Macaca mulatta: one gene and its partner. The protein of the gene in region 1 purifies or fractionates together with the protein of each later gene. This does not show direct contact. Links are inferred from orthologs where the notes say so. Each region holds a gene or a part of one and is shown in the gene's direction. Other genes may lie near its edges.

The links. The genes of interacting proteins can lie anywhere in the genome.
Region 2: the proteins of CXXC1 (region 1) and SETD1A purify together in Homo sapiens (affinity purification with western blotting; 16 studies listed by BioGRID and IntAct, counting the BioPlex papers as one, with this or other methods). This does not show direct contact. The link is inferred for Macaca mulatta from reciprocal best matches to the Homo sapiens genes CXXC1 and SETD1A.

Annotation. Positions count from the first base shown.
Region 1 is NC_133423.1:42,016,546-42,020,749, forward strand, and holds the start of CXXC1 (CXXC-type zinc finger protein 1), read left to right. Parts: upstream 1-1,395; 5' UTR 1,396-1,566; coding exon 1,567-1,569; intron 1,570-1,648; exon of another isoform or gene 1,649-1,731; coding exon of another isoform or gene 1,732-1,734; intron 1,735-2,270; coding exon 2,271-2,389; intron 2,390-2,489; coding exon 2,490-2,590; intron 2,591-2,875; coding exon 2,876-3,111; intron 3,112-3,204; coding exon 3,205-3,384; intron 3,385-3,779; coding exon 3,780-3,806; intron 3,807-3,883; coding exon 3,884-4,129; intron 4,130-4,204. UniProt on the Homo sapiens protein: Transcriptional activator that exhibits a unique DNA binding specificity for CpG unmethylated motifs with a preference for CpGG.
Region 2 is NC_133425.1:29,612,063-29,615,579, forward strand, and holds part of SETD1A (histone-lysine N-methyltransferase SETD1A), read left to right. Parts: intron 1-1,448; coding exon 1,449-2,507; intron 2,508-2,813; coding exon 2,814-2,986; intron 2,987-3,070; coding exon 3,071-3,181; intron 3,182-3,390; coding exon 3,391-3,510; intron 3,511-3,517. UniProt on the Homo sapiens protein: Histone methyltransferase that catalyzes methyl group transfer from S-adenosyl-L-methionine to the epsilon-amino group of 'Lys-4' of histone H3 (H3K4) via a non-processive mechanism.

The DNA of each region.
Region 1 (4,204 bases):
CATAGTTCATTGGTTGTTGTTCAGGAGATGAAGCGCTGGTGAAATATAGCTGGTTTCCAGGACGGTGTGGTCATTGCAGTTTTGACCAATTCAAGGGTTCCAGGCAAGTTCCTATTGTGTTTTAGTTTTGGTTTGTTTGTTTTCCTTTTTGCAAGTTTGCGAGGAGTCCTTAGAATGGCTTCCAGGCGGAGCGGGCGCGGTGGTTCACGCCTGTAATCCCAGCACTTTGGAGGGCCAAGGCTGGCGAATCACCTTAAGTCGGGAGATCCAGACCATCCTGGCCAACACGGTGAAAGCCCGTCTTTACTAAAAATACAAAAAATTAGCCGGGCGTGGTAGCGCAAGCCTGTAATCCCAGCTACTCGGAAGGCTGAGGCAGGATAATAGGTTGAATCCGGGAGGCAGAGGTTGTAGTGAGCCGAGATCGCGCCATTGCACTCCAGCCTGGGCAACAAAAGCGAAACTCCGTCTCAAAAAATGAGTAAATAAATAAATAAAAATTAGAAAGAATGGCTTCCAGGCTCCATTTTACAGCTGTTAACCAGAGTGACACCGTTTTGTATATCACATTTCACAAGAGATAATCAGGTATGAGCATACAGATCTATGTTTAAGAATGTTCGTTGCAACTTTATTTAGAATAATATTTGAAAATGTTCTAAATGCTAAACAATAAATCAATGTAAACTGTGCTTAGGCTTATTGTGCAGCTTATATAACTAAAATAAGATTTGATATTAGTTTAACAATTGTTTTTAAATAAAAATAAAATAAATAGAAGCCGAACCGTGCCAGGCCTGGCAGAAGAATGACAAGTGGGAGGAGTGAGAGCCGGAAAGAGTGGTGGCAGGTGAAGTCGGAGACGACAGAGGAACTGGTTTCCTCCGCCCCGCAAGGCACACAGCCTGCCGACACCCCATCAATACATGTGGAAGGGGAAAGAGACAGAATGGAGGAATGAATACAACTTGATCCAGGTAGCGTTTCGGGAGCGGCCGCTTTACCTGTGAACCTCTCTGCCTGACAAGCTGCCAATATACGGTATCAACCACCAAGATGGCGGCGCCCTTGAGGAATCCGCAAATAGGTCGCCGCCATGTGTCGCCAAGGAACGTACGAATTCGACCCTCGTACGGAATCAGATTCCAAGATGACGGCATCTATGAGGAAGTCACGCAGTAGGTGCAGCCATGTTGCCTGTACGTCCAGGCCGTACTAGCAGCCGCCGTACGGACTCTACTGACAAGGTGGCGACGCCCTCGGGAAAGCCACAATTGAGCGCTGCCATGTTCCCGGCGAACGTGTGGATTCGGCCACCATACGGATACGATAATCAAGATGGCGGCGCCTGAGGGTTCTTCGGGGGCTCTAGGCGAGCGACCTACTGGTTTGCGGCGGAGACGACGCACGGGGCTTGCGCAATAGGAGTACGCTGCCTGGGAGGCGTGACCAGAAGCGGAAGTAGTTGTGGGCGCCTTTGCAACCGCCTGGGACGCCGCCGAGTGGTCTGTGCAGGTTCGCGGGTTGCTGGCGGGGGTCGCGAGGGAGTGCGCCGGGAGCGGAGATATGGTGAGTACCGGGTTCAGGGAGGGGTTCGGCGGTGGAGGTTGGTGGGGTTGGCAACAGTGGGGTCTGTCGGCCGACTCAGGGGTCTGTGGTGAGCCGTAACCGGAGTCTGTGGACTGAACGGCGGGAGTCTGTGGGCAGAATGATGAACCATCTGGGAGTTCTATGGTGAGCCACGGTGGGGGAGTCCTTAATAGAAGTTTAGTGGGGACTCCGGGTGGCAGTTCCGTGGGAAACCGTGATCGGGGATTGTGAGGAGTCACACTGGGTGGTCTGTAGTGAGCCGTGACGAGGAGTTCGTGTCCGGGGATCCGTGGACAGCCGCGACTGGGGGTGGGTGCGGGTGCCAGGTGGGTCTATGAGGTAAACAGGGAGGGGTGCGTAGAGACCGCGATGGGAAGTCCGCAGTGAATTACGCGGGGTCTGTGAGGGCGCCACGATGAAGGATCGCGATGGCCCATTAGCGAGTGTGGACGCAGGGAGCGGGTGTCGGTGGGTGCGTGATGGGAAGTATGGAGCAAAGTAATAGGATGTCAGGGGAAGGGATGGAGGTCAGTGGGGACTGTGATGGAGAGGTTTTTGGGGGGCCCCGATGTGAAATCTGCAGGCAGAGTGGGGATCCCTGCTGACCATGGTGGAGCTGTAATGGGATAAGCCGCCACGGTGGGGGCTGTTTAAGGATCCGTAATGGGGGTATCCCGCAGGAGGGAGATGGTTCAGACCCAGAACCTCCAGATGCTGGGGAGGACAGCAAGTCGGAGAATGGAGAGAATGCGCCCATCTACTGCATCTGTCGCAAACCGGACATCAACTGCTTCATGATGTGAGCCCGGGAGAGGTGGGCGGGGCAGACACTAGCAGGGTGGGGTGAGGCCGATGGGCCGCGCCCCTCACATCTCCACCGCCTGCCCCATCCTCCGCAGCGGGTGTGACAACTGCAATGAGTGGTTCCATGGGGACTGCATCCGGATCACTGAGAAGATGGCCAAGGCCATCCGGGAGTGGTACTGCCGGGAGTGCAGAGGTGAGGGCCATGGATGGACAGGGAAGGCAGGTGGGGCTTCAAGGGAGGAGGAGGAGCCATAATGGGGGGTCATGGGGAGTAGTGATACACGTCTGTGGTGAGCTGGAATGGGGTCTCCATTGTGAGTGGTAATAGAAGATTCCACGGGAAGAGGCAGCTCTGCCCTGGACAGGGGTGCAGAGTAGGTGGGTGGGATAGTAAGGGAGAGAAGAGGAAGAAAGAGGTTTTGGGACCGTTCAGGCCCTCCAGTGCTCACTCACTTTGGCCCTACTCTCTGCCCCACAGAGAAAGACCCCAAACTAGAGATTCGCTATCGGCACAAGAAGTCACGGGAGCGGGATGGCAATGAGCGGGACGGCAGTGAGCCCCGGGATGAGGGTGGAGGGCGCAAGAGGCCTGTCCCCGATCCAGACCTGCAGCGCCGGGCAGGGTCAGGGACAGGGGTTGGGGCCATGCTTGCTCGGGGCTCTGCTTCGCCCCACAAATCCTCGCCGCAGCCCTTGGTGGCCACACCCAGCCAGGTGAGTGGCTGCATAAAGTGAGTAGATGTGTAAAGTGGTTCCGTTTCAGCCCTGCCTGGGTCCATAATTTCTGTTCTGGGCCCCCTCCTCCAGCATCACCAGCAGCAGCAGCAGCAGATCAAACGGTCAGCCCGCATGTGTGGTGAGTGTGAGGCATGTCGGCGCACTGAGGACTGTGGTCACTGTGACTTCTGTCGGGACATGAAGAAGTTTGGGGGCCCCAACAAGATCCGGCAGAAGTGCCGGCTGCGCCAGTGCCAGCTGCGGGCCCGGGTGAGCATGGACAGAGCTGGGTAGGGTCAGGTATGGGAGAGCTGGTGGGTCCATGCATGGTTAGTGTAGTCTAGGCATGGCTAAGCCAGGTGGGATTGGGCCTGACTGTATCTAGACAGGTGGGAAGGGACCTGTCATGTCCAAATGAATGGGGCATGAGCTGGTATGCTGGGCTGGCAGAACCCCCACCAACCCTGGGTGGACAGAGTGGGGTCAGGTGTTTCCAGTTGGTCATGCACGTCAGTACAGATAAGACAGGGGCGAGCATTCCTGGTAGTAAGGGGTAGTGGGGAGGTGTGTCTGGGGAGGTAAGGCCAGGCCAGGTGGGTGGGGCTAGGGCAAGGCCGCCCTCCATCCACCTGGGGCTGACCTGGGCCTTCCTCCTGCCGGCACAGGAATCGTACAAGTACTTCCCTTCCTCGGTGAGTCCAGCTCCCCAGGGTGGGGCGGGGCATGCGGGCAGGGCGGTCAGGGCCAGTCCTGAGATTCTGCCCCGCAGCTCTCACCAGTGACGCCCTCAGAGTCCCTGCCAAGGCCCCGCCGGCCACTGCCCACCCAACAGCAGCCACAGCCATCACAGAAGTTAGGGCGCATCCGTGAAGATGAGGGAGCAGTGGCATCATCAGCAGTCAAGGAGCCTCCTGAGGCTACAGCCACGCCTGAGCCACTCTCAGATGAGGACCTACCTCTGGATCCTGACCTGTATCAGGACTTCTGTGCAGGGGCCTTTGATGACCACGGCCTGGTGAGCAGATAGGAGCATCCCCTGGTGGAAGGGTGGAGGTTACAGAAGCAGAGAGTATCCGTAATGAGGAGACAG
Region 2 (3,517 bases), on another chromosome or scaffold:
AGCTTCCTGGAGTGGGTTGCTGCCACAGGCTGAGACCCCAGCAGGTGTCCAGAGCCTAAGGTACAGCCTAGGGCCTGGCTCAGGGCGCCAGGGTTGGGAGTGCGGTGGACTCAGGTGAATCGCTGCCTTATAGGGCTGGGCCTGGTGCTGGGCCCTGTTGGCGCTGAGTGGGGAAGCCAGTTGTGAAGCCAGTGAGTCCCTGGGCTGCAGTTCAGAGCATGAGCTCAACCCACATGGCCTGGGAGCAGAGCTTGTTCTGTCATCTGGTAACTGTGACCGCATCTCTGTGCCTGTTTCCCTGTCTGTAAGATAGGACCCTCTGCTGGGCGCGGTGGCTCACGCCTGTAATCCCAGCACTTTGGGAGGCCAAGGCGGGCGGAGCAGGAGGTCAAGAGATCGAGACCATCCTGGCCAACATGATAAAACTCTACTAAAAATACAAAAATTAGCTGGGTGTGGTGGCACATGCCTGTAGTCCAGCTACTCAGGAGGCTGAGGCGGGAGGATCGCTTGAACCTGGGAGGCGGAGGTTGCAGTGAGCCGAGATCACGCCACTGCACTCCCACCTGGCAACAGGGCGAGACTCCATCTCGGGCAAAAAGAAGAAGATAGGAACCTCTTTGAGCTGTTGTGAGGATTACATGAATTACGCTACGTAAGAGGTGTGATTGGTGTTAGGCACAAAATCCATCGGGCTGGCTCTGAGAGCCTCATGCAGGCTTTCCCAGGGATGGTGGCCAAGGGAGGATGCACTCCCTGTCCCGGGGGTGCTTTGGGGAGGCAGCACCCCCAGCTTGGAGCCAATGTGTTCCCTCCCCAGCCACCCGCATCCTGGGATCTCCGCTCCAGCCCCACTTCTCTGGCAGGGCTGTCTCCTGCCCCTCCCCCCGGGGCATGTTCCAGTTCTGTAGGGGATGGGGAGGAAGGCAAGTTTCATAAAATATTTTAATACAGAGATGCTGCTTTTTAGATTGTATCATGTTCACCTCGCTAAACTGAGAATATTGTTTATGGTGGAGGTAATGGATGTTTTAGCTGAAATGTAGCTGACTGGGTCCTTGGCATGGGACATGGCTGGGGCCTGGGCACAGGGCTGTCCTGCCAGTCTGGGTAGGAAAGCAGAGTCCAGGGCATGTGGTGCTGCCCTTCTCAGCGTGGCTACAGCTTATGTGTTGGTGGTGTCCCCTGTTGGACTGTGGCTCCGGGAGGACATGGAAGGTGTGTGTGTACCCCACACGTGTCACAGTGGGAACGAACGGGTGGGAAACCTCCTCTCATCAAGGGAGTTCATGTTGTTGGGATGTGGGGCTGAGGCCAGAGCGTCTGTGTCCCCCCGAGGTTCCTGGGTGGAAGCGGGGGAGAGCACACGGCCTGTGGTCATGGGCGGCCAGGGCGGCTGAGCCTGGGTCGCCCTGACCTCCTTTCCTTCCTCTGTGCTTCCTTCCCAGGCCCCACGGAGGAGCTGCCCCCCAGTGTGCCCCCCCCTCCCCCAGAACCACCTGCTGGGCCCCCAGCCCCCACCCCATGCCCCGATGAGCGTCCCTCTTCTCCCATCCCCCTCCTGCCCCCACCCAAGAAACGCCGGAAAACTGTCTCCTTCTCTGCCATTGAGGTGGTGCCAGCCCCAGAGCCCCCTACAGCCACACCGCCGCAGGCCAAGTCTCCTGGACCAGCCTCCCGCAAGGCCCCCCGGGGCGTGGAGCGGACCATCCGCAACCTGCCTCTGGACCATGCATCTTTGGTCAAGAGTTGGCCGGAGGAGGTGTCCCGAGGAAGCCGGAGCCGGGCTGGAGGCCGAGGCCGCGCCACAGAGGAAGAGGAGGCTGAGCCAGGGACAGAGGTAGACCTGGCGGTCCTGGCTGACCTGGCCCTGACCCCTGCCCGGCGGGGGCTGCCTTCCCTGCCTGCTGTTGACGACTCGGAGGCCACAGAAACATCGGAGGAGGCTGAGCGCCCTGGGCCCCTGCTCAGCCACATCCTCCTGGAGCACAACTACGCCCTGGCCGTCAAGCCCACAGCACCGGCACTGGCCCCGCGGCCCCCAGAGCCAGTGCCTGCACCCGCCGCCCTCTTCAGTTCCCCAGCGGATGAGGTCCTGGAGGCCCCCGAGGTGGTGGTGGCTGAGGCGGAGGAGCCCAAGCCGCAGCAACTGCAGCAGCAGCGGGAGGAGGGCGAAGAGGAGGAGGAGGAGGAGGAGGAAGAGGGGGAAGAGGAGGAGGAGGAATCCTCTGACAGCAGCAGCAGCAGTGATGGGGAGGGCGCCCTCCGGAGGCGCAGCCTCCGCTCCCACGCCCGGCGCCGCCGTCCACCGCCCCCACCCCCGCCACGGCCGCCCCGCGCCTACGAGCCGCGCAGTGAGTTTGAACAGATGACCATCCTGTACGACATCTGGAACTCGGGCCTGGACTCAGAGGACATGAGTTACCTGCGGCTCACCTATGAGCGGCTGCTGCAGCAGACGAGCGGGGCCGACTGGCTCAACGACACCCACTGGGTTCATCACACAAATATCCTGAGCGTGGGCGCTGGGGCCGGCGGCCTTCCCCGGGACACGTGGGCTTGGGTCCTCCTCCGACCCCTCCTGGCACCTGCATCTGTCCCCGACTCTGCCTCCCCTCTGGCTCCAAGCCATCTTTTTCTCTCCGCCTGGTGCCTCTTCTGCCTTCCAAAGCATTTCTGGCAGGAACCATGGGGCTGGGGCTTCCTCCCCTCTCCCTCACCTGAGTATGTTCAGCGGCGTGGGCCCCGCCCTCTCCTTTGGCTGGGACGCGGGTGGCCAGAGAGGAGCCGTTCTCTTCCTTAACACCCCGCACTCACCAACCTGACCACCCCAAAACGCAAGCGGCGGCCCCAGGATGGGCCCCGGGAGCACCAGACAGGCTCGGCCCGTAGCGAAGGCTACTACCCCATCAGCAAGAAGGAGAAGGACAAGTACCTGGATGTGTGCCCAGTCTCGGCCCGGCAGCTGGAGGGCGTGGACACTCAGGTGGGCCCGACCCCGCCGCCGCGTGCTCCTCCCACCACTCACCTCTCTGCCCTGCTCACCTCCTCCCTGCCCTGCATCTCACAGGGGACGAACCGCGTGCTATCCGAGCGCCGGTCCGAGCAACGGAGGCTGCTGAGCGCCATCGGTACTTCCGCCATCATGGACAGTGACCTGCTGAAACTCAACCAGCTCAAGGTGAGACCGGGCTGCGGGAGGGCCTGGGTGGGGTAGAGTGGGGCAGGAAGGGGCAGAGGCCAGGGGACCACCCAACAAGCTCCTGTGGCTCCCTCAGGTGGAGTTGGGGGGTAAGCGGCCAGAATGCTCTCTGCCCAGGAAGTCTGGGAAGAGCGAGGGTCTGGGGTGTGGCAGGCGTCTGGCAGTTGAGTCTCCCTTCTGCCCCCCAGTTCCGGAAGAAGAAGCTCCGATTTGGCCGGAGCCGGATCCACGAGTGGGGTCTGTTTGCCATGGAACCCATTGCTGCTGACGAGATGGTCATCGAATACGTGGGTCAGAACATCCGTCAGGTGAGAT